Caenorhabditis elegans: one gene and its partners. The protein of the gene in region 2 purifies or fractionates together with the protein of the main gene of each other region. This does not show direct contact. Each region holds a gene or a part of one and is shown on either strand. Other genes may lie near its edges. The genes, in order: syf-1, mog-1 and ddx-23.

What was found.
Region 1: the proteins of mog-1 (region 2) and syf-1 fractionate together in Caenorhabditis elegans (co-fractionation; one large-scale study listed by BioGRID). This does not show direct contact.
Region 3: the proteins of mog-1 (region 2) and ddx-23 fractionate together in Caenorhabditis elegans (co-fractionation; one large-scale study listed by BioGRID). This does not show direct contact.

Annotation. Positions count from the first base shown.
Region 1 is NC_003279.8:3,875,123-3,882,949, reverse strand, and holds syf-1 (Pre-mRNA-splicing factor SYF1), read right to left. Parts: upstream 5,888-7,827; 5' UTR 5,885-5,887; coding exon 5,819-5,884; intron 5,772-5,818; coding exon 5,652-5,771; intron 5,607-5,651; coding exon 4,950-5,606; intron 4,903-4,949; coding exon 4,730-4,902; intron 4,342-4,729; coding exon 3,566-4,341; intron 3,512-3,565; coding exon 3,402-3,511; intron 2,932-3,401; coding exon 2,266-2,931; 3' UTR 2,207-2,265; downstream 1-2,206. Other genes in the region: C50F2.2 (CCHC-type domain-containing protein), read right to left, coding at 1-693, 745-844, 903-1,117; T03F1.12 (Protein SYS1 homolog), read left to right, coding at 6,247-6,402, 6,448-6,620, 6,668-6,785; uba-5 (Ubiquitin-like modifier-activating enzyme 5), read right to left, coding at 7,223-7,768, 7,818-7,827.
Region 2 is NC_003281.10:9,949,854-9,958,107, forward strand, and holds mog-1 (putative pre-mRNA-splicing factor ATP-dependent RNA helicase mog-1), read right to left. Parts: upstream 6,363-8,254; 5' UTR 6,360-6,362; coding exon 6,244-6,359; intron 6,187-6,243; coding exon 6,073-6,186; intron 6,030-6,072; coding exon 4,721-6,029; intron 4,647-4,720; coding exon 3,819-4,646; intron 3,649-3,818; coding exon 3,107-3,648; intron 3,050-3,106; coding exon 2,878-3,049; intron 2,650-2,877; coding exon 2,335-2,649; 3' UTR 2,207-2,334; downstream 1-2,206. Other genes in the region: K03H1.13 (GDP-fucose pyrophosphorylase domain-containing protein), read right to left, coding at 44-165, 208-426; K03H1.11 (F-box domain-containing protein), read right to left, coding at 1,059-1,382, 1,431-1,726, 1,840-2,110; alx-1 (Apoptosis-linked gene 2-interacting protein X 1), read left to right, coding at 7,505-7,719, 7,770-8,254. UniProt on the Caenorhabditis elegans protein: Probable ATP-binding RNA helicase involved in pre-mRNA splicing.
Region 3 is NC_003281.10:5,847,115-5,855,460, forward strand, and holds ddx-23 (putative ATP-dependent RNA helicase DDX23), read right to left. Parts: upstream 6,156-8,346; 5' UTR 6,150-6,155; coding exon 6,078-6,149; intron 6,005-6,077; coding exon 4,427-6,004; intron 4,006-4,426; coding exon 3,750-4,005; intron 3,076-3,749; coding exon 2,989-3,075; intron 2,694-2,988; coding exon 2,617-2,693; intron 1,953-2,616; coding exon 1,830-1,952; 3' UTR 1,724-1,829; downstream 1-1,723. Other genes in the region: cct-6 (T-complex protein 1 subunit zeta), read right to left, coding at 6,703-7,097, 7,144-7,859, 7,913-8,085, 8,134-8,268, 8,317-8,346.

The DNA of each region.
Region 1 (7,827 bases), on a different chromosome or scaffold from region 2:
TGGTCGTTTTGGGTGCGGAGTGAGATCGGCAGGCTTTTTCTGACTTGGTTGCTTGGAATTAACTATTGGGTTCGTTGGAGAAGACTTTGTGCGAACTTCAGTCTTCTTCTCCTGGATCTTGGATGCAACCGGTTTCTGAGATTCCGAATTTCTAGAAGCCGATGGTCTTGGGTGCGGAGTGATATCAACAGGCTTCTGTTCCCGAACCTTGGAAGCTACGGCGTCCGGCGCCTGGGGTGCCGGCATCCTCGGAAACTGAACGCGTTGCGAAATTGGCGCTTTCTTTGCGATCTTAGACCGTTCATCAATCTCTTCTTTTGATTGTCGATTCAGCTTCCGCTTCTTATTCGAAATAATATCCTTATCAGATTGATCTTTTCCCCGTCCAATTGGAGACTTGGAACGACGTTTCAGGTGATCTTGTACTTTTTGAGTCACAGGTTTTCTCTTCTCCAGCACCACAGCTTTCTGATCTTCCTGTTGCCGTTTCTCTTCTCTCTTCTTCTCAACAAGCTCTGGCAGCAGGCTCCCGGACTCCTTCAGAGATTTCTCTGGACAATTCGTAGCTTTTTTCACATTCATTACAGTTGGCATTCCGTCATTATTTGTCTCCAGCTGATTCAGGTAGAGCCACATTTCAAGATCTTCCAAATTGCCGAATTCCAATTCGACGCAGTTTCGAGCTCGCATTTTCTGAAATTTAATTGAATTTGATTTTTTTTGAGAATAGCTTGGATTAAAAACCTTCATAGCTCGAGGTCTCATTGGACACTGACGATCCTTGAAATGATGTGTACAATTGGGACATATCACGACGCCGCCGGATGAGGTGGCGTGCTTCAGTCTGAATTTTTTTCGAATTTTAGATTTTTTGAAAAGTGAAAAAAAAAAAACTGTCTCACTTTGTTTTCAACTCTTCATTTTCTTTTTTCAATCGTTCTATTTGACTTCTAGACCCTATTAGAAGCTGTCGGAAAAGAGCTGTTGTAGGAGGTGCGGACGAGGTGGATGGCTGATCTTCGGGAACTTTTGCAGGCTTTTTAATGGAAGACGTTGATGGTGCTGGAGCATAAAATTCGCCTAGAGCCATCGTGTAGAGATCATTAACGTCTTCCATTTTTATTTACAATTTATCTGAAAAAAATAATCCTTTGCGAAAAGCTGATTGAAGCAGTGATTTTTTATAAAAATTGTCATTTAAAATTTGAAACTGTCACAACATTTTAATTTTTTTTTGCCGTTTTTTTACAGAGAAAATCGAATTTTTGTCGAAAAGTTAGAAACAAATAGGTTAAAGTGAGAAAGCACTTGAAAAACGTTATTGAAAAAAAACATTATTGTAAATAACTATTTATTAAAAAACCATCAGATCATGACAATGTCTACCGTTTTGACGCGCGAAATTAAAATATCTTTTCGCCACATTTTCTCTCACCTGTTGCGGCATATTTTCGCGCCAGAAAGTAGGCATTAGGGGTGGGCATTCTTGATTGATTGATTTCTTGAATTTCTTGATTTCTTGACAGTTTGTCAAGAATTCTTGTTTCTTGATTTCTTGATAAATTGTGTCAAGAAATCAAGAAATTTTTAACTCGAAATTTAGGCTGAAAAGTGGGTTTTTCAATTTTCCGAGAAATTATTTTATTATTTTTGCCATTTTCAGAATATAATAACTCAAAAAACACCATAAAACACAATTTCAGTTGGAAGAGCGAGGTTTGCAGAAAGGAATTCAAAAAGATTGAAAACGTTAACGTTCTTGTCGAAAAATTATTATTTTTGCACTTTTTGTCCATTTTCAAAGTTTCTTTTGTTCATATTCTTTAAAAAATAGGTTAAGACTGATAAATTTAACTATTTCTTTCAATTTCGCTTAAAAATAATATCCGTAGAAAATTTCTTGATTTCTTGACTTTTAAAATCAAGAATTCTTGACTGATTGATTTCTTGACTTTGTAAAAGTTTGCCCACCCTTGGTAGGCATTCTCATGAACTGATGGTATCGTAATACCTTCGAAGAATGAGAAAATACTAACGTTTTTTTGAAAAATTCTTAGTGATTAATCATGATTTCAGACAATTTTTATATTTCCTAAAAAAATTAAAAACACAATTTTTAAAAAAAGTATTACACACAGTGTTAGACAACACAACAACCAAGGAAAACATCACAAAAAAATTGGAAAATTGGAAAATTTGTAACATAAAATAAATAATTTATTTTTCAAGATCCTGAACAACAAATAAAATAAAAAATAATGAAAATCAAGCTTCTTCCTCCTCTTCGGCGAGCTTCAAATTTCCAAAAATCTGAGCTGGAACAACTTTGACTGAAATATCAGCATCTCCACCATCATCTTCCTCATCATCGTCGTCTTCATCCAAATCAATTTCATCAGGATTCTCTGTAGTATTCTGTTGTACCGTTTTACCGGCTCCACGTACAAATGAAATATTTCCTTTGTTCATTGAGACCTGAGTAATTGATCCTGCTCCATCCGAAGGTTGCTGCTGTTGCTGATCCAATGAATCCATCGGATTCGACGAAGTCGTAGTCTCCTGTGCCTTTCGTTCAGCATCCACACGCATTTGTACAGATGTCAGTGTGACATTCACGTTGTATGACGCTTCGACTGATCTACGAACACGAAGCATGTCACGAACAGTTGCCTCGTTTCCATGAGCAACTTCAAAGTTTTTCCACGTATCCCAGAACTTTACATGAACTTTTGGATCGGAAATCTCGGCGGCGTGCGCGTAGATCGCTCGGGCTCGGTCAATCTCTCCGACCGTCGTCTCGAGCTGAGCATACCGCAAGCTCATTGCTCGAGACTTATCCTCTGGCAATTCGGAAATCGCTCGTTCAAAGATGGGCCGGCACTGCGCGATTCCATACATTTCCTGGACCTTTTTGATGTAGATATTGTACATCTAAAATGACAATTTTGAAGAATTTGCGGGTTTTATCGGGTTTTATCGTGATTTTTCGTTTGAAAAATTGAATTTCGCGAAATTTTGTTGTTTTGAAGTGTTTTTAACTATAATTTTTGCGTCGTTTTGTTCAATTAAATCCAATTTTTGTCAATTTTCAGCAAGAATTTACAACATTTGGTCTCAGGAAGCTATAGATATATTAAAAATAAAACATTTATATTCCAAAAATTTTTGCGTCTTTAGCAGGAATATTGGATTTTCGTATAGTTTTTTTCGAATAAAAAGCTACACTATGCGCAATTTCGACTGAAAATTTCGAATTTTGTGCCTTTTTCTTTGCAGAAAGCTATGATTTTCCTATTTCCAGGTATTTTTGAGCTCTAAAGCGCTGAAAATTCAGGATTTTTTAATTTAAAATTGAGCTTTCAACATTTTTCAATATTTTACAAAAAAAAAATTGTGCTTACCGAGTGCATATCGGCACGGTCAACTCCTGAGCAGGCTCTGTTGTATATGGAAAGAGCATGCCTGGCGAGTCCGTGCTCTTCTTCCAGTTTGGCATAGAGTAAGAAAATATCTAAAATAAATTTGGTATTGTTTGATTTATTTCAACTTTTTCAAAAGTTCTTACATTTCGCATGGGTTGGTGGGCAGTTTTCCAGACATTGCTCAAACAAATCACGTGCTCTTTCCAGCTTCTTTCCACCGTATCTTTTAATGAATTTGACCAAATATGTATTCCAAATATCAAAAACTCCGGGCCACTTGAACAGAGCAATTCCCTTCTCGTAGGCTTGGAATGCCAGCTCGAAATACTCATTCTCCTCCAAAAACATTGCGTAATTCATAATCATCTGTGGAGAAGCTACACGAAGCTCGATCATCTTATCATAAACTTTCCGACAAGACTCAACAGTTCCACAACATTCCTCATAATCCGCGTACATTGCCCATAGAATCGGACTTCTGTGAACTCTTGCTTGAACTGATTGCATATTCTCGTAATCTCCTGGCTTCGGAACAACACATGCTCGTTGCATAACTGTCAGTGCAGCTTTTGCTCTTTTATGCTTCATTTCCATTTCGGCATACGCACACCACACATTTGCAAGTTCACTGACACCTCCGAATTGTGAGATCACAGCGGTCTCGAACGTCTTACGAGCAGCATCCAAGTCACCATTATCCTCATACAACTTGGCAAGACCGATCCAGAGATCACGAACTTTTCCGACTTGAATTTTGGGATTTACAGATTTTACGGCTTCCTTGAATGTCTCAATTTGCTTGTTGTAATTTCCTTCGTAGATATTCACTCGGTTGAGCCATTCTCCAACATTATGTGGATTCTGCCGGAGAAGTACACTGTTCATTAGTTCATTCTTTCTTTCCATCAAATGTTGATATCTGGAATTTCAAGAGGGTTTTACAAATTTATAGTTAAACGATTTGAAGGTAAAGGTAAAGGTAAAGGCTTTACAAAGAGATTTTGCAAAAATTGCTCAACACATTTTTTTCAAAAAGGGCTTCTTATCGGTGCTAAATTTCGAAAAAAAGGCCAATTTTAGCTAAAATCTCCAATTTTTTCCAACTTTTCCGTGCCCGGTCATTGATTTTTTTTAAATTTTAATATACCTTAGCGTTAGATAAACTGCACAAATAAAATAAAAAATACGAATAATCTGACATTAATCAAGTAAATGTCATGTTACGACCGCTGCGACACGGAAAAGTTGGCGAAATTGGTGATTATAGCTGAACTTAGGTCATTTTTTTGAATTTTTGACATACAAACCTCTGGAACATCCACTCAAGATCAACTTCTTCTTCCGGATCACCACTTTGTTCCACTTCTTGCATCATAATCGACACTTCTCGTTCTTCAAAAGCTGCATAAGCATCATAAACTTGAGCGAAATCTCGTACAGTTGACACTTTAGCAATAGCCTCCTCATACACGTCTCGAGCCTGAAATCAAATTTGTGCTCAGAAAAAAAACACTTTTTCAAATTTACTCTTTCGAACTCTGCGCTACGAATGTAATAGTCGGCTAGTGAGCACCACAAAAATCCAACTTGATCCGTGTACCGATAGATTCCTTGACGAATAATTGCGTCGACGTTCAGCGAGAAGATCTTTACTGGATTCTTTGAGATCAAATCACACAGCTGAGTCCACAGTTGATGTGCAGTTCTTCCTTTTTCCGAAACATTCTGATCTTGATTTACTAGAGTTGTCAATTCTTTTGCTGCCTCGTCGATTTGATCTCTTTCAATAAGATACTCAACGTAATCCTCACGAGCTTTCGGATTCATCTTCAAATATCTTCTGTAGACACGAATTGTAGTTTCTGGCAGATCGTGACTTGTCAGAAAGCCGATATACAATGTCCAGATACGCATGTGCTGGGTGACTGGAAGAGAACGGAGAGCTCGATCGAAAACTCGTCTGGTCTCTGTGATGAGGCCTCTTTTGATCATCACTTCGCAGTAACAAATCCAAATACGTGGCATCTTGTGTAATCTCATGAGACATCTCTCATAAGTGTCACAGAGTGCTCTCCAGGAGTTGTCTGTTGGGCATTTGTTGACAATTGTGCTTTCTCTGTATTTCAGATAATGATACCAAAGTTTGTAGCTTCTTTCGAAAACTGCAAGTGCACGTTCGTAGATCTGAAATTAAAAAATGTTTTTTGAAGAAAATTAAATGAAAATTACCAAAAACATCTGCTTGGCAGGAGATTTGTTCTGCAATTTGTGATCGATATATCTCTGCCAACAATTTACTGACGTGGGATTTCTAATGATATCCTCTTCAAACGGAACATCTTCGGAAGACTGAAAATTGCATTATTGTTTCCTGTTCTGATTGTTTCTTCACTTACGATCCCTTTCATCGTCTCAGAGTTCGGCATTTTTTCAATTTTTGTTGCATTTTCTTTGTCGGCCATTATCTGGAAAGATAAAAATATAACAAATTAAAAGTAATCCGAGCTTTAAATATTAAAAAGAATATGAATAAAATTTAATTTTCGAAAAATGCGGGAGATTTTTGATCGTCGGTTCTGGTGTATGCAGACCGAAAGAGTACGCAATTGTGGACCGTAGTCTGGTGTGGAAATACGCGTTGGCTTTTCAGGAAAAAAGATTTTATCGAAAAAAAACGTTGTGATTTCACATGTGAATTGTTTTTGTTCAATTTTAATTATTAATCTTAATTATTGAAATTTTGTAATCATGTACTTCGAATGTGTTTTTCTACAAAACATTGATAAATTCTCGGTTTCCCTGTGCAAGTATCCGAATTTTCAGAATGTCGTCGTTTCGGCAGTTTGTCTGGGATCCAGTGCTCCTCGTCAGTCAAATGACGTGTCTTCAGACATTTTTCTACGCTACTCAAACTTCAGTAATGCTGTTCTGCAGCTTTTTCGGCTACGAACCTCTCATTTCCTCTATTTTCTCAATACAGGTTTGGATTTTCCCAGTCTATTTAATTTTAAAATTATTATTTCAGACACAACGATCAATGGCATTAATTCAATTAGTTTCCGCCGTCGGAGTCTCATTCGCACTGTCGCATTTAGTGCAACGTGCGAAACAATGCCTGGATTTTGCCTGTACAGTGCACTTTTTCCATTTAATATTTACCACTATTTACAACCATGCTCTTCCAACCCAATTTACATGGTTAGGATTTAATTATAAAACTTTTGAAATTCAAATTCCTTTTTAAGGTGGATTCTTCAAGTAATATCGACAACAGTTTGCACGGTTCTTGGAGAATATCTGTGCATGCGAATCGAATCGCAGGAAATAAAATTGGAAGGTGGTCCTTCTCGCTACGATCTTTAATATAATCAGAGAAGCATATTTAAATTATTCAGCTCATTTTGCGGGTGTTTGATTCGATTATTAAATAGACAGTTCCTGTAAATTATCAATTAATTCGGTGTAAATAAACTGATGTTTCTTCTTCTTTCTTCTCTTGTAAATTAGGAGCATGAGAAAGTCAGAAGAAAGTAAATAATAAAGATTTTATGAATAAAATAGAAAACAGGGAGTTCAATCACAGATGATGTGTAATATGCAATACAAGGGGATAGTGAGCGAAGGGGGGACAGAATACAGGAAAAATAGAAGCTAAAAACCCAAAATTGGCTCCTAAAAAAAAGAAGGGGATTGACAATAAATTATTTAGCGAGTGTGATGGAAGGCGAGAGACTAGCTTATAAAAGCAATTTTAATATTGACAAGAATATGGGAAAAATCTATATTTTGATTTTTGGCAATTATTTTCCTTTGTTCTGGGCTTCCTCGACGAGTTTATCCTTGATCGATTTCATAAAATCATGGGTTGCAGCTTGAGCCGGCGACAATTCAGTCTGGGCATCTCTCTTGATTGGTTCATAAGCAAACTTGAGCCCGGTTCCAGCATTCAAGCTTGAAGATTGTTCTGCAGATGGCTCCGACTCATTTACCAGCTCGATTCCCCATTCATTGTCCTCATGAACGACGGTTTCTTCTTCTGGAACTTCCACTTCAAGATCCACAGGTTGATTGGCAACCTTCTCTTCGTATTCTTTTTGTCTTTGCAGACAGTGAGAGTCGTCGCAGTATGGGTTCGGCTTGATGCTGTCACGAGGGAAAAAGTCTGATAATGCGTTGTATCCAACGTACTGGGAGACTTCTCCAAAGTTCAGAAGGTATTTCAGCGTGTTCATCACCAAAAATCCAGCAACTACAGCCATTGTTGTTGGAAGTGACGCAGCACACACTCCATCGCGTTTCAACGTACGCTCGTCAATTCCCGAAGCGACAACGAGTGGAGGAACACACTGAAAAAATGAACATTTGTTTTGATTTCAAGGATGAAACTTCACTTACAGCAAAACAC
Region 2 (8,254 bases):
TAGATACAGATAAAGATTTTAAATAATAGTAGATATTACATACTTATAAATTTCTAATTTAGTTTCTAAAATACTTTTGCAATTTGGCAGTGTTCCAAAAGCTTTTCCATATGCTGAGAGATGAGGCATTCGTTGAGAAAGACCACCCGAATGTAATAGTAGAACCTTAAATTTATGCGAATTCCTAAAAAATATATAACTGCATACCTTAGATTTTTCCAATTTTTCATATGTCTCAGTTTCTAATAACTTTCGAATAATATTAAACGTAGCTCCACCTGAACCAATTCGAATTCCCGGGGATTCATCCGTTACAACTTCTATAGATTCAGAATAATTTTGAGTTGGAATCCTAGATAGTTGTTCATAAAATACTCGATTTTGAGAATCAGATCCTGCAGTGAGAATGAATTTTTGCCATAACATTTTAGAGGCAGCGAAGAGAGAAGAAATGACCAGAAAATCGATTGTGTTGTGTCCACGTTATTATCGGAGCTGGCATCGTGTGGTGTAATAGGAAAAGAGAATTAGACGGCAAAGGTTTGAAAAGACGGAATGAATCTAAAAAATGTGTTCATTATTACTAGTTTTTACATATTAAGAATAGACACATAGTTTTAGAATAATACAATTGAAGGTACACCAGGAATTTACAATTTTAAATACATAGTATTACACAGAATCGAAAACGTGCGATTTTAGCTCCACAAAATATTTACCAGGTCTCGAAACGAATTAAATTCAGAAAAGCGTGCGCTTTTAAGGAGGTTACTGTAGTTCACAACTCTTTTTTATAGCAGAATTTGCATTTTATTCAAACTTTGATATATTTCAAAAAGTTCTCACATGTTATTAATACATTTTAAAGATACTATAGTACCCCTTAAAGGCGCGCATGAGAAAACCAGTCGATTCGAGACCGGACACCGTATTTTCGGAGCTAAAATTACAAGTTTTCGAATTTAAGTAAACTGAACGGGTAATGTACAAATACTACAATGCTTTTTTAAGCTATGGAACTCTTTTTCTTGTTCAAAAGACCAAGAGAACATAAAATCTCAAACAAAAATTAATACACATTTCCTGCTCGAGTGGAGAGCAAGAACAGCCGGCTTATCGTAACCAAGAGGAACAACAACTGGCTTGAGACTCCATTCAGCAGATTGTGATCCAAAAAGTGGAGATCTCATAAAGTTTTGAAGTTGATTCGCATCGAATTCAGTATTGTCCATGTGCACATCAAGTTTGTCGGATAGACGAAATGCGGTCGATTCGATGAATGGAAGAGCCGATAGAGTGGTAACTCGTGGGCAGTCGGAGATCCTGAAGTACGCAAGATTCGGGCATGAACGGGAAACGCGTTGGGAGAAGTGATCTGTGATCTGAAAATTCAATTGTTATTGAGATTCCTTTAAATGTATCATATTCACCTGTGAAGTCCCTTTCAAATCAATTTGAGTAAGAGTCTGGAAAGATGCCTGAAAGCATCTGAGCAACTTTGCTTCAGTGTCACCTCCCAAATTGCATCCTTCAATCTCAACTTTCTCAAGCTTATCATAACCAGCAAGTAAAGCGAGAGTCCATGTATTTATTCGTTCCAAATCAATTTCAGATAGTGCCAGTTGCTTTAGTGGAGCATTTTTTGTCAATTGGAGCAGTTGAGCTAGCTGTTCATCAGAAATCTCGTCGCCGACTAATTCATTTTCCAATTGAAGGGAATGAATTTCTGAAAATCAAATTGGCAATTATACTCGAGAATTGAATGATTTTTTTTTAATGTTTCAATTTGTATCCAAACAGTTAGATAAAAGTAAAATAGACGAATAAGAAAATAAATACCGTTAACTATTTGTGGCATTAGAAAATGTAAAAGTTCTTGAATTTCTTCTCGATTTACTTTTGGAATATGAAGCTCAAATTCGTCTCCATCACATTTTCCATTCAATTTCTCACTTGTGATTCCAATCTTTATAGCACGGATTTTTGGAATCATATCTACGATAACTCTCATCACATCGATATTACTTAAAGCTGAATTAACAAGATCCGTAGGTTTTAACCCTTTATGGATTTCTCGGATGATTTCCAATGGCATATCACCGAGAATCATTCTGAAAATTTTGTTCTGAGTTTTTTTTGTTGTTGAAAAACATACAGTAAAAAAGGAAATGTACCGAAAGTGGGAAAAATTGAAAAAGGTAAAAATAAATATAAGGTTTATGGAATAAACTTCTGAAAATAAAATTGCAACAGAGTATATAGAAAATCGAACTGGAGTATTAACAGTGACACCCGATTACACGAGAAAATAAGACAGAGAAAGAGAGTAATTGATCAAAGACCCCACAGCTTTCTTCTCTCCGATCTGGCCGATTTCGATCCGACTTCAACAACACGCCTGGAAGATTCTGGTCGTTTGAACGCCTTGTCACTTTCTTCCTTCCGCCGTTCCATTTCTTTCTGCGCCTCTCGCATCTCTGCTTCCATCGTTTCAACCGTTCGGACACTCTCCATTTTCAGTTCTTTGCGTGATTGTTTCGATTCTTTGATCGAATAGAACATGGGTCCAAGTTCAGCAAGCCAGATTGCATCGACAGCAGTTACACATTGCATATATTCTTTGGCTGTCATAATCAATTCGTGGTACACCTTAATTTAGAATATTAATTTAAAGTTTAAAGGAATGTGTTTTTGGCGAATAATTTATTTTCCGCTTCTTTTTTTCGAAAAAGAGGATATACTGAAACATTCATAAATTTTTAAGTGTTACTTTTTTTCCAAAAATCATATTCAAAATTTAAAATAGAGTGCAATTTGGCCGAAATATTTGAAATACCGATTCAGCATTTTTTTTTCTTCAGATTCAGCCCTGCTTACCACGTAATCAGGCATGAAACCCATTCCAAAAAGAGCTGAAGTTGGATGAAGGAAGCATGGAATTCCGGTACGAACATTGACATATTCACCAATTCCTTTAAGACGAGCTGCATTGTGGAAATACGCAGAGCAAATGCATTTTCTCACAATATCCCATTCACTTCCGTTTGAGCTGAAATAATTTTATAAAATTGTAGTTCTAAGAAACTTTCAAATAAAAAAAACCTACATCAATGGAAGCTTGAGATCTTGCATAATTTCCTTCAATTGAGCACGAACTTCTCGAACCTTTTTCAAAGCTTTTACGTGTAAATAGTTGTCGGCACACCATTTTGCAGAATATTTGTGTGTTCTCCATTGAATATAGACGTTTAAGAAAGTGAGATGATCCGATTCGGGAACTTGGAACTTTTCTTTCTTGGCATCAGCTTCTTCTTCTCGTCCTTTTGGTCTGAAGAAAATTGCGGGCACTGACAACATCGAAACAATCGTCAGAACTTCATCACTGCATCCCATTTCAGCCGACATAATGAGCATTTTCGACAGAGTTGGATCTAGTGGGAATTCAACCATTTTTCGTCCCATTGGCGTGAGCTGTCCAGTGTTATCGAGAGCTCCAAGAGTCCAAAGTTGATACATTGAATTCAGCATATTGTCCTGTGGAGGTGCATCCATGAAGTGAAATTTCAAAAGATCATCCACTCCGAGAGACTTTAAAAGAAGCACTACATTGGCGAGATTGGTTCTTTGAATTTCAGGTACAGTACTCTTCTGAAAAATAAATTTGTTTTTATTTGAAACAGGGCTGAGCATATATATATATTTTTTAATATATATTTTTAAAAAATAAAATTAAAAATTTGTCGTTTTCGATATTTTTCCCATGAAATTTTTAGCATTCGTCGCTCACTCCAGATTTGTGAGATTCACCTCAAACTTACCAAAAGCTCATCTTTAAATTGTCTTTCAGTATACAAACGATAACACTGTCCTGGTCCAGTACGTCCGGCACGACCAGTTCGTTGATTCGCTGATGCTTGTGACACTGGGAAGATCGATAGAGCATCCATACCGATTCTTGGATTGTACACCTTCATCTTACAGAAACCCGGATCAATTACAAATAGAATTCCGTCGACAGTGAGCGATGTCTCTGCAATATTTGTAGCCACAATTGCTTTCCGCATTCCACCGGGTGCTCTTTGGAAAATCTTGGCTTGTAAGTCACTTGGAAGCTGGGAATAGATTGGTAGAACAGCAAGTGGAGGAGCTTCATCAAGTTCACCAAGCTTCTCTTTGATCATTTCACAAGTGCACTCAATATCTTCTTGTCCTGGCATGAAAATCAAAATATCTCCGTCCATACCACCCAGATGAATTGTAACAGCTTGTTTAACAGCAGCATCCACATAATCTTCAACAGGAGTTCTCGCATGAAACAGTTCGACTGGGAATGTTCTTCCAGGAATTGTAAAAGTGGGACAGTTTCCTCCGAAAAAGTCTGCAAACTTATCAGCATCCATAGTAGCAGAAGTAACGATTAGCTTCAGATCAGCTCGTTTTGCAATCACTTCTCTGAGCAAACCAAAGAGTACATCTGTATTGAGTGAACGTTCGTGAGCTTCGTCCATAATAATTGCTGAATATTGATCAAGACTTCCATCACCAAGACATTCACGAAGCAGAATACCATCTGTCATGTACTTGATTATTGTTTTTTCTGATGTACAATCTTCGAATCGAATCGCGTAACCAACGTCTTGTCCTAGCTGTAAAAATTAAAATAAAATTGTTTTCTTAAAACAGTGGTGAAATACATAATTATCTCAAAAATGAAACTAACATCCACTCCCATTTCATCAGCTACACGTCTAGCAACACTCATTGCAGCGACACGTCTCGGCTGAGTACATCCGATGAGTCCCGAATCACCAAATCCATCTTCAAGTAGGTATTGTGCCAACTGAGTTGTTTTTCCTGATCCTGTTTCTCCGACGATGATAACCACATTATTCTCACGAATCACATTCATCATCTTCTGCCGACACGCAAATACAGGCAAATACTCTCTTTGCTGCTTGATAGACTTTTCCATCGCAAAATCCGAAACTGCTTCATTATCTTTCATGTGAGATGCAAATTGATGAGATTCTTTGTAATTTCCAGAATCATCGTCTTCTGGATCAGCAGTTTCATCTTTTTTCTCTTTAACACCCATCAAATTTCCGAGTTTTGATCCTGCCAACTCCCAATGCTTATCTTGAGCCTTCTTCCTATCTTCAACTTCTCTCCGTTTTCGTACTGCAACACTTCCTCTTGCTGCTGAAACAGCCATATCACATGTTGTATCAACAACCGGAATGATTGGTTGTGCTTGTTTAGTGAAAACAATTCGACCATCAAGGAATGGAGGAACAATGTTTTGAACGAGAATTGTGACACGATTCTCATCAGTTTCATCTTCAAAAATACTTGATAATTCATCAGCCATCGCGACGACTCCTGATCTATGCAGTCGATTGTTCTCCCATAACTCATTCTCTCTTTTGATCGCCTGCTGCTTCACTGTAAGTCTCGGCTTCTGAGTTTTCTCCTGCCATTGCTTTTCTCGTTTTTCCACAAATTCGTCAGAAACCTTATTGAATGGATTATACTCATCATCAAATGCTCCTTCATTATCATACCATTCTCTGTCCAAATTCTTCTGTTCCTCTTCCCATTGAGCTCTCTCTTCGTCATCATGAAATGTGGGCTCTGCTTTTTCTTCTTTAACACTTCGTACCGAATCTTCTGGTTTTCGATGTCTCCGTCTCTTCTCATCATCTCTATTCCTTCTTTCACTTCTCCATGCACTTGAAATGCTTCGTTCCGAATCCATATATCGTTTTCTGTCTCTTTCACCCCGCGGAGTCGGCATATCCCAACTATTTCGTTTTCTGGAAGATCCTTCACGATCATCTTGATCCCAGCTCATTCTGGATGGTGTATCGGGAACTTTAAAGCGAGGAGTCTGATCTCCACTTCGATCTTTCCAACCTCTTCTACTACTCGGCTCTCTTCGTTCTGATCTGTCACGGTCTCGTCTGCGATCATCATCCCGACTTTTGTATTTCATTCCACGGTCGTCACGATCTCGATGCTTCTCATGAACTCTGAAATCATCAATTTACTTCGCTAATTTAATGTTTGAATCACTTTTCAATTCCTTTTCGAACCGATTCCGTGACACCTCGATCGTCATCATCCTCAAGACGTTTTCTGGCGTGTTCCCGCTTTGTAGACGCCAATCTATCGAGCCCAAGCAAGCTTCTGCAATTTAAATTGTTTTTATTTGAAGAAAATTAAAGTATATATTTAGTTACTCACTTCCCGGATGGTTCGGTTGGTTTTGAATCTCCCTCTACTTTTTTCTTTTTAATAACCAATCCACCAAATGTGTCACTGGTTCCTTCGAGGCGGCCATCTGCCCGTTTATCCGACATTTACTAAAAAATAAAGAATTTAAGAAAAACTAATTTAATTTCGAAAAGGAAATCGAAAATAAATAAAAAATAAATAAAAAATGAGAGAGCGAGAGAGAACGCATTATGAAAAGAGACTCAGACTTTTGTGTCTCGATAGAGCGCTCTTTCATAAAAACATTTTTCGCGAATTTTTTGTTTTTTCTTCAATTTTCTCAACACTCTTTCTCTCTTGTTGCATCTTTTTCTTTTCTTTTCTCTCATTAAAGGTTTCCCGGAGGTCTCTTCAAACAAAAAATAGCCTATAAATCAGTAGAAAATCACAATCTACTTCAATGCCACCAGTTTTCACTATTGAATCCGAATTTTTGATGTTCTTCAAATTTCCCTCTGTATCATCAACCACCGATACCCACTTAAACGGTTCAATTTCTATAGATTTGTTTGTTAACTCAAGCGCTTGAGAACCCCGGAAGCAACAGATCGGAGAGCTGAAGTGTTGAAAGTTGTTTCGAGAGAGTGGATTGCTTAGGCCCTAGCTTAAAATAAACTCAATATATTTAGAATTCAAATTGTTATTTCATATCAAATCATACGTTTACTAATTTTGAAATCTATTGATTTTCTTTTTTTCTCACCTCAATTCTATTTGCAACCCGAATTGCGAAATCGAGAGGGGCGGTCACCATGCCGGCAGCATCGATGACTCATCACTCGTATCACGAACGTTATTTGCATTCTAATGTCTGAAATGACGTTTTTCCCTTCTTGTTGAATGATTAGGAGTGTGAATCGATGTGATGAACTTACTTTCTATTACATTTTTCTTGTCCTTCATTAACGAGAAGCTTCGTATTTTCCTATTGCTCACCTCAAATTAAGGATGGAGTGAATTGGCTGGGGATTTTGCGTTAAATTATAGAAAATTGACCCTGCTAACTGAATATAACTGTAAAAATTAAACTTTTACTAAAACTAAACTTTATTTTTGAATTCTCGTAACATCTTCGTGTTTTTTTTGCTAAATTCATTGGTTTTCTTGATTAATGTTTCACATTTTAATTGAAACACAGTTTGTCAAAATTTCAGAAAAATTCTTTAAAGAGAATCTTTCTATTTTATTTTTTTTATTTCTCACTTCAAATTAGTATTAATTTTCTTTCAGAATGGCTACATTCGGCTTTCTCAGCGCACCGCTGAAATCGACTAATGAAGTGGATCTTGTGAAGCCACTTACAAGCTATATCGACAATGTCTACAATACATCCGATAATAACCGCTCAGATGTCGCCGAAGCTGTTCAGGAACTTAATAAACTCCGTTCAAAAGCTTGCTGTCAGCCTCTCGACAAGCATCAAAGTGCTCTCGATGTTTTGACTAGGTAATAAATTTAAAAAAAAAGAATATCTTTGAAATAATTGTTTTTTACAGATATTATGATCAACTCGTTGCCATTGAAAACAAAATTATAATCTCTGCAACTCAAAATCCAGTTGTTTTCAAATGGAAGGATGCATTCGACAAAGGAAGCCTCTTCTCAAGCAGAGCATCCTTATCCCTGTCTGACGGATCCTTTGAACGTGCTGCCGTTCTGTTCAATATCGGATCGTTGATGTCTCAAATCGGAGCTGCTCAACAATTCCATACCGATGATGAAATTAAAGTATCTGCAAAACTATTCCAACAATCTGCTGGAGTATTCGCCCGTCTTCGTGATGTTGTTCTCGGAATGGTTCAACAGGAACCAACTCCTGATCTCATGCCAGATACACTTGCTGCTCTTTCTGCATTAATGACTGCTCAGGCACAAGAGGCGATCTATATTAAAGGCCACAAGGATAAGATGAAGGCTACATCAATGGTCAAAATATCTGCTCAAGTTGCCGAATTTTACTCGGAAGCACAAAAAATGATGT
Region 3 (8,346 bases), 4.1 Mb from region 2:
AGTTTAGATGTTGTCAAGGCGACGGTTTAGGGGGAAAAGAAAAGGATATTCCTCAACAGCTATTGTATATTCAACAATACTTTGAGGGAGATGGTGTGTTAAGTTTTAATGAGAATATATAAAATTTGGGTAACACATTTTTTTTAGCAGTTTCGCGTTATTATTCACCTATTTCTATTTTGGAAGATATTTGAACTACAGAAAAAATAATTAAATCTAAAAATTTCCACAGAAAAAGTAAATAAAGACATACCAGTTATATAAATTCTGTGAGTATAGTCTTCGATTGGTTTTGCCATATCGTAGTTGAGTACCAGTGATACATCTTTGACGTCGATCCCTGGAAATCAAGTGAATATTATTTTTATTTTTAAAACATTCATAATTTTTAATGAATTTTTAACTGAACTTCTAACAAAAATTCCCGACATTTTTCATAATTCAAAGAATTTTTAACAGCACAAACCACGAACCTCTTTAAGCAACATCAGTAACAAAAAGAGTACGGTATCCATCTAACCTTTTAAAGCCTAGATCTTTAAAGGCGGATTCTCCCTGTTCCTGACTAGGGAACCGTCAGAAGGTGTCCATCGGACTTGCATATGAGATCTTTGTCATTCGAACGCCCAGGTCTTAAAACGGTTACCCGTGAATGTTTAGCAGTAAAACTCCAGAGCTAAGCTCGCGGCGGGCTTTCAAATATCCTAAAATATCTCCGCGGATAAATTTTTTACAGAAAAGTCATCAACTAAAAAGTTGTTGATATTGTTGGAAAGTAAAAGTTTGTAGCTGAAAGTTTTTTACCAAAAAACATTTTGTTTGAGATAAAAGCATTAGAATAGCAACAGCTTAAAAATAACAGCAACAGTTGCCGCACTTCACGCGCTTTTATCTCAAGCAAAAATGTTTTTGATAAAAAACTTTCAACTACAAACTTGTTCTTTACAACAATATCAACAACTTTTTAGTTGATGACTTTTCTGTAAAAAATTTATCCGCGGAGATATGAGCTACCAAAGTGAAATTGGAAAGTAGGCCCTTCAATGCTTCGTTAAAGTGCTATTTTCAGGATCTTTGAGAGCCCGCCGTGAGTTTGGTTCTGGAGCTTCACCGCTAAAAATTCTCGAGTAACCGTTTTAAGACATGGGCTATCGAATCTCATATGCTAGTTTGATGGGCACCTTCTGACGGTTCCCCAGTGAGTCTTTCCTCCGTGAAAAACCGTGGATTTGATCTTCAGGTTTACGAGACCTTTTGAGAGCATGTCGGCCCATTTTTTTTGACAACATTATGATTTTGTTAGGTTTTATTCCTTGGCGAAGGTTTTTTGGAAAAACGATTCGAACACGTCGACGAACTTCTTATTTTTATAATTATCTAACATGTACCCAACCTTTAAAGATTTATTTATTTATTTTCAGTTTTCCTTTTTTCACAATAACTAGTAAAACGTATTTCAAAATACTATTTTATTTTATTTTAAAAAAATTATGATCAGTGTGGAGTGAAATATTTCAGATTTTTAAACTTTCAATTTCGTTTCTTAAAATCGAAAAATTAATTATTTTGCTTCCTAACATGAGAATTCATTTAATTTGAATTTTTCCACGAGACTAGCTTTAAAACACACATTCTCCGAATAATGTGCTCTTGGAAATCCGACAGAGAGCAACTTTTCATGATCATTTTCCTATTCTGGAATTAATAATGAAATTTGAACGGAATGATGGGGTCAGGAGTATTTATTTAACAGATCTGGTAGAACAATCATATAAAAATTGAATAAATAAATATAAATGTTGAGATTTTCCAAACAAAAAAGAGAATTATCACTTCAAGAACAATGTTTCATCTTGTCGTTTCTTTGATGTAAACACTCCAGGCTTACTCTGTGCATCCGGATGATTCGCAAGTTCAGGTGGGCATGATGACACTGGCGATTCGACCAGAACCTGGAAAAAATACGAGTTAAAATATTTTTATTAAAAGTATTTATTGAGTGATACATTTTCTTTTGAAACTTTTGAAAAAAAAAACTTTCAAAAACGATTATCTTGGAATTAGACGGAAATTTTGAAAATTAAATTCAAAACATTCATTAACGACTTAATTAAAGGGCATCTCATCGAATTAACCTTATTCGAATAAATTTTTTTCGGAGTTGTTTCTTTTTTTCATTGTAATTTTAATTCGCTTGCAGTAACTACAGTAACCCAAAAGTGGATTTTTTTTTTCTAAATTGTTCAAGAACGCTTAAAATATTTTTTTTAAATATTTTATGAAACGATTAACTGATGTTTTCATTTTTAACTACTTATTTCATCGATTATCTTTCAGAAAACCGAATGCAAATCTTTTCTTTTTTGTTGATATTTGGACAAAAAATTAAATTTTTTTTGTTGGATTTTTTATCTTTAAAAAATTTTCATTTTTTCATTGTTCTTTAAAAATAAAAATTAAACTAAAGTCCTCAATTTTTCGTTTTTCTTGTTTAGTTTCTTCTTTAATTTTTCGCAAATTTCAATTTTTATTTTTCGACCTAAAATCAAAACAAAAATTTTTTGATTTTTAGGTCCAATATCATTTTTGGTGTCCGGTTTCCGTCACAATTTTTACCTGCTTCAAGTCGAAATAGACGGCAGTATCGTCAGGTGTGAGGAATGTGATTGCTTTTCCATGTTTACCAGCTCGACCTGAAATTTAAAAGAAATTATTATATGTGATCAAGAAGAAAAGTGTGGAAGTTTTCAGATGCTAGTAGCTTCAAAATTTATGAAAACTTCTACGCATTTTTTTTCATTTTTTAAAATTTTCTTTAAATAATTTCTTACTGCTCCGCTGTTCTTTATCTTTTTTCCGTTGTAATAAATCATACTATGTGGAGATAAATTTTAAAAAAATGATGTCCTCAAGAATCTCATATTTTCCCAAAACAGAAAATTACACTTCATCAAAAAATTTCCACAGAAAAAGTGAATAAAAACATACCAGTTCTACCAATTCTGTGAGTATAGTCTTCAATTGATTTTGCCATATCGTAGTTGAGTACCAGTGATACATCTTTGACGTCGATACCTGAAAATTAAGTGGATATTATTTTGATTTTCAAAACTTTGAATTTATAATTTTTTAGTTACATTTCGAATCAAACCTCTTCAATTAGTTTTTTTTTTAAATAGGGGAATCTCAAATTTTTGGGTTTTCATTCAGAAGAGTTTGAAACTTTCAAGAAACGTTATATACCGTATATTCTCTATTAGAGCGGCATGCCGCACTAATTTCCGGGCCCTTCGCGACGTGCGCTCTATTAGAGACTGCCGTTCTACTGGATACTGCCGCACTAATTTTCGATAACTAATTTTCATATTGAAGTTACTACTGTTGGGAGTAGTAACCTCAAAATTTCCTTATAAAACCTCATATTTTATGGAAAAATTCGTGAAAATTGTGTAATTTTGCCTCACAAAGACACTAAAATTCAATATTTAAATGAAAATTTATGAATTCATTCAAGAATGAACAAAAATATCTTCGAAGAAATCGAATAATTGAGGTGGCTCTCGCACCCAAAAAAAGGGGTGCCACACTAATAGAGACTGCCGCTCTAATTTTCGAAGAGCCAGTTAGGGTGCCGCTCTAATAGATACGCCGTACTATTAGATACGCCGCTCTAATAGAGAATATACGGTATATATATACTTGAAAAAAGTATTTGAATCAACAATTTTTTTCCAAAAAAAAAAACGAACCTCTTCCAGCAACATCAGTAGCCACAAGAATATCACTCGTTCCTTCTTTAAGAGCCTGCAGAGCGTATTCTCTTTGATCTTGACCTTTTCCTCCGTGAAGAACTGTTGGCTTGAAACCAAGTTTGGTAAGACCTTTTGAGAGCATATCAGCACCTTTCTTCTGATTGACAAAAATAATAATCGGTGGTTGGAATTGTGATTCGAGCACTTCGACGAGCTTCTTACGTTTACGATCCTCTGGAACCATGTAGACTACCTGAATACGAAATATTTTGGAATTTTTAAAAAACTTGAAATTTTTTTGAAATTTCTTACTAAAAAATACTAGCCTCTGAAAAAAGACACTGAAAACAGAATTCCCCCTTTCTGCGTGGTTTCAATCCAGAGATGGGACTTTTTTTTGGCATTTTTTGGTAATTTGACGAAAAATTAATTTTTTGATTTTATTTTTTAGAAAACCAACAAAAAACCAAACAATTTTTCACTTTTTTCAGTTAAAAAACAATTTTTTGGGTGTTCTTAATTAGTTTTTAGCAAATTTTAGTTAACAACTTTTATGAAGCTACTTTAGGAAGCTGCCTTAGTTCTAGTAATTTTTCTAGTTCAGCTTAATGTCGAAATATGAAAAACGATTCTCATAATTATTTTTCTTTTCTACCAAGAATAAAATAAATTACCTGTTCAACTCTTTCTGTAGGCTTTCCAGCAGATCCAATATGTACAACTGCTGGTCTTCTGAGATATTGTCTGGCAAGTCTTTCGATAGCTGAAGACATTGTAGCTGTGAACATGACAGTTTGTCGATATTTCTCTCTTGTTGAGAATCCCTTCATCAAAGCTTCTTCATTATCGAATTCATCCGTATCTTTCTTCATATTTGTATCTGGCATGTACTCCAGAACCTTCTGAACATCTGGTTCAAATCCCATGTCAAGCATTCGATCAGCTTCGTCAAGGATCACATAGGTACACTGATTCAGGAGAAGATATCGATTTTCCAGAACATCGAGAAGACGACCTGGTGTTGCAATGACCACTTCAACACCCATTCGAAGCTTCATTCCTTGATCTTCTCTGCTGGCTCCTCCGATTACTGAAACGGTCTTGATACCGAGAAGCTTTCCGAACTTGTTGGTTTCCTCTTCAATCTGCTGAGCCAATTCTCTTGTTGGAGCCATAATAATAGCATATGGACCCAAGTCCCGATGTTCTTGTCGTTCCATTTTTGGAAGGCTTGTGATCCATACAAGCAGCGGTAGAAGGAAAGCTGCAGTTTTTCCTGATCCAGTTTCAGCTACACCGATTACGTCACGATTCTGAAGACCAATTGGGATGGCTTGTCTCTGAATAGGTGTAGGTTCCAGATAACCAATTTCTTTGACAGCTTGGTAGACTTCATCTGGAAATCCAGCTTCTTCCCAATTACGAAGAGGTCGTGGAACTCTGCCTCCTTTAATAGAAATATTGAAATCTTCACGGAAGATACGCCAATCTCTGTCAGACATCTCAGAAAGTTCTTTCATTCTCCAATGACGATCATCATGAGCCACTTTCTTTTCTTTTTTCAGTTCTTTTTCAAGGCGATGCATCTCTTGCTCTTTCTCATCAACAGTTCTTCGATTTTCCATCATTTCCTGGTAGAACGAGTTCTTCTCTTTTTTCTGAGCATTCACATCCGTTCCAGCAACAGATCCTCTTCCAAAGAACTGAATTTCATGTCGACTTTGATATAATTTGTTATAATCCTGTGATGTATCCTCTCCAGCATCCCAATCAAAAACAAACTTTTTCTCATGAAGTCTCCGTCCTCTTTTCTTCTTTTCCTTCTGTTTTCCAAGATATCTGTCTTTAACAGCATCTGCCATTTTACTAACATCTTCTTCATTATCACTATCCTCGTTTCTATCTCTTTTCCGATCATCATTTCGATCCCTTCTATCTCTACTTCTACTTCTATCTCGACGCCTTCCACCATCACGATCACGGCTCCTGCTCCTTCGTCGTCTATCTCGAGAACCACTTCTCTCCCGACGATCCCGTCGACGATCACGATCACGTTCCCGTTCACGGTCTCTGTCACGATCATTGCCTCGGTCAAGTCCACGATCTCTTCTATCGTCTGATGTTTTTTCGGTGCGTCCCCAATTTTTTCGAGCTTCTTCAGCTTGTTTTTGTGTTTCACGCAGTTTTGCGACCTCCTCTTCTCTTCGTTTCAGAGCCAATGCGGCCCGCTCGGCTTTTGACAGAAATTTTGGCTGAAAATTTGAAAATGGTTTGGTTTTTAAAAAATATGCGATGTTTTTTGAGATATTAAAAAATAATACATACCTTTGCCAATTCATCTTCTTCTCTTTTCTTCTTTTCCAGAAGTTCCTCAAGTGATGGAGGTTCAGCAGCCATTTCTCTGGAATTTAAGAACTTAAATGTTTGGAAAACTAATTAAAAATATGCTTTTACAATGGGAAAATGTAAAAAAACCAATTTTTAACATAAACCTACAGAAATGCATTCACCCTTTTCGTATATAATACACGCGACCGAGGTGGTATTTGTTAGGCCGCGCTCTCTTAGCGGGACATTCGAAAATGTCAATTCTCCGAATATCATATTAATTTTCTATAGAAATAAAGCTTCGCGCACATACACAACCGGAAACCAATCATAATAATATTAAAAGCAAGAAGCCTTTATTGCGCAAAATCAAAAAGGAACGTGCATGAAAAAATCAACAAATTCTCAAATGAAAAGCAATAAATTTTGATGAAAATTTAAGAAATTGGGGGATAATAAAGAAAAAGAAAACAGATCGATCTTTGTTGATTATCGCTCGAAGAAAGCTATAAAAACAAACGGTAAAGTTGGGCTTGTTGAACGGGATGGGGAATATTATCAAACACGGCAACAGATCATAGAAACGGACACACTGGGGGGAATAGAAAAACAATTTTAATATTTATTCTGGTTGTGGCTGCTTCAAGTTGGTCATACCAGCGCGCATCACTTCATCAACAAGCAAGAGATTGCATGCAAGTACTGTCGCCGACGAGATACTGTTCTTCTTCACCGTCACATTGTCCCAAATTCCTTGTGGCTCGACAGCTCCTCCGGTTTCGAGATCGAGTCCAACGGCGATATCTGGTCCAGCGGCGGTTTTCTCCTCAATAAGCTTAACAAGTGTTTCCTGAGCATCATATCCTCCATTTACGGCCAGTGTCTTTGGAATAACGAGAAGAGCTTGAGCAAACGCTTCAGCTCCGAGCTTGGCACGTCCCTTCAGGTTCTCAACATCTTTTTTCAACATCACGTAGGCAGCAATTTCGAAAGCAGCAGCTCCAGGGAGAACAGCCTCTGAAAATAGGTTACTAGAACAGAAGTTAATAAAATTTAAACTCACTGTCAACGATGGTGTTGAAAACAGCACGAAGTCCATCATGAATAGCATCCTTGATTTGAGTGATGGTATGCTTGTTTGGTCCCTTGATAAGAAGAGTCACAGATTTTGGAGCACGGCATTCCTCGATAAACGTGTATTTCTCTTCTCCAAGGGAATGCTCGTAAACGAGTCCAGCCCATCCAAGATCCTCTGGAGTCAAATCATCAACTGAGTTGACGGCTTCTCCTCCGACGGCCAGCTGAAGACGTTCCATGTTACGTCTCTTGGCACGACGAAGAGCAAGAATTCCTTCGGAAGCAAGCAAGTCAAGAGATGGAGGATCGATTCCTTTCTGGTTGATAACAACGAATCCCTTATTCTTACCATCTGGAGAATTATCAATAACCTTCTTCTTCAACTCAATAATCTTGTGAACACGACGAGTAATGAATTCACGTTCGGCAGCGAGAAGTGCCTCACGTTCCTTGGCGGTCTTGTAGAAAAGTCCCGAGTTGACTTCAGTCTTCTCGTATTCCAAAGAAACGTTGCAAGTGAGAATGTAAGCGTCTTTAACGTGTCTTGGCATATCTGGGTGACGAGCTCCATGATCGAGAACTAATCCACGAACAAGTGTGGTATCCATATCACTGTCGTGGTGCATTTCCATCTTTTCAACCATATGAAGATCTGGTTCCTCTCCATCACGACGGATTGCCAAAACGGCGTCGACAACGCATCTGAAATTAAGAAGATAATGTTTTTTACTACTTTTTAATTGTTTGTTTCTTACTCGGTGATGTGATCAGCAAGTTTCTGATGAAGTTTGGTACGAAGAGCAGTGCGGCACACCTCTACAAGGAGGTCACGCTCAACGGGAGCCTCTTTCTTGAACTTTTCAAGCAACTCGAGGGTTTTTGTGTTAGCCCACTCGAAGCCTTCAGTAACAATACGTGGATGAAGACCCTAAAATTTTAAATAAATGTTTAAAGTTAAACTTTGGAAATTGATCACCTCGAGAACTAGAGATTCGGCTTGTTTCAAGAGCTCTCCGATAAGGAGAACGGTGGATGTGGTTCCATCTCCAGTCACGTCGTCTTGTGCCGTCGAAGCCTTGGCAATCATTGAGGCTGTTGGATGTTGAATCGCCTGAAATTAAATAGTGCTAAACGCTGAATCTGAACAAAACGATCAAACCATTTCGTGAAGCAAGACATTTCCATCCTT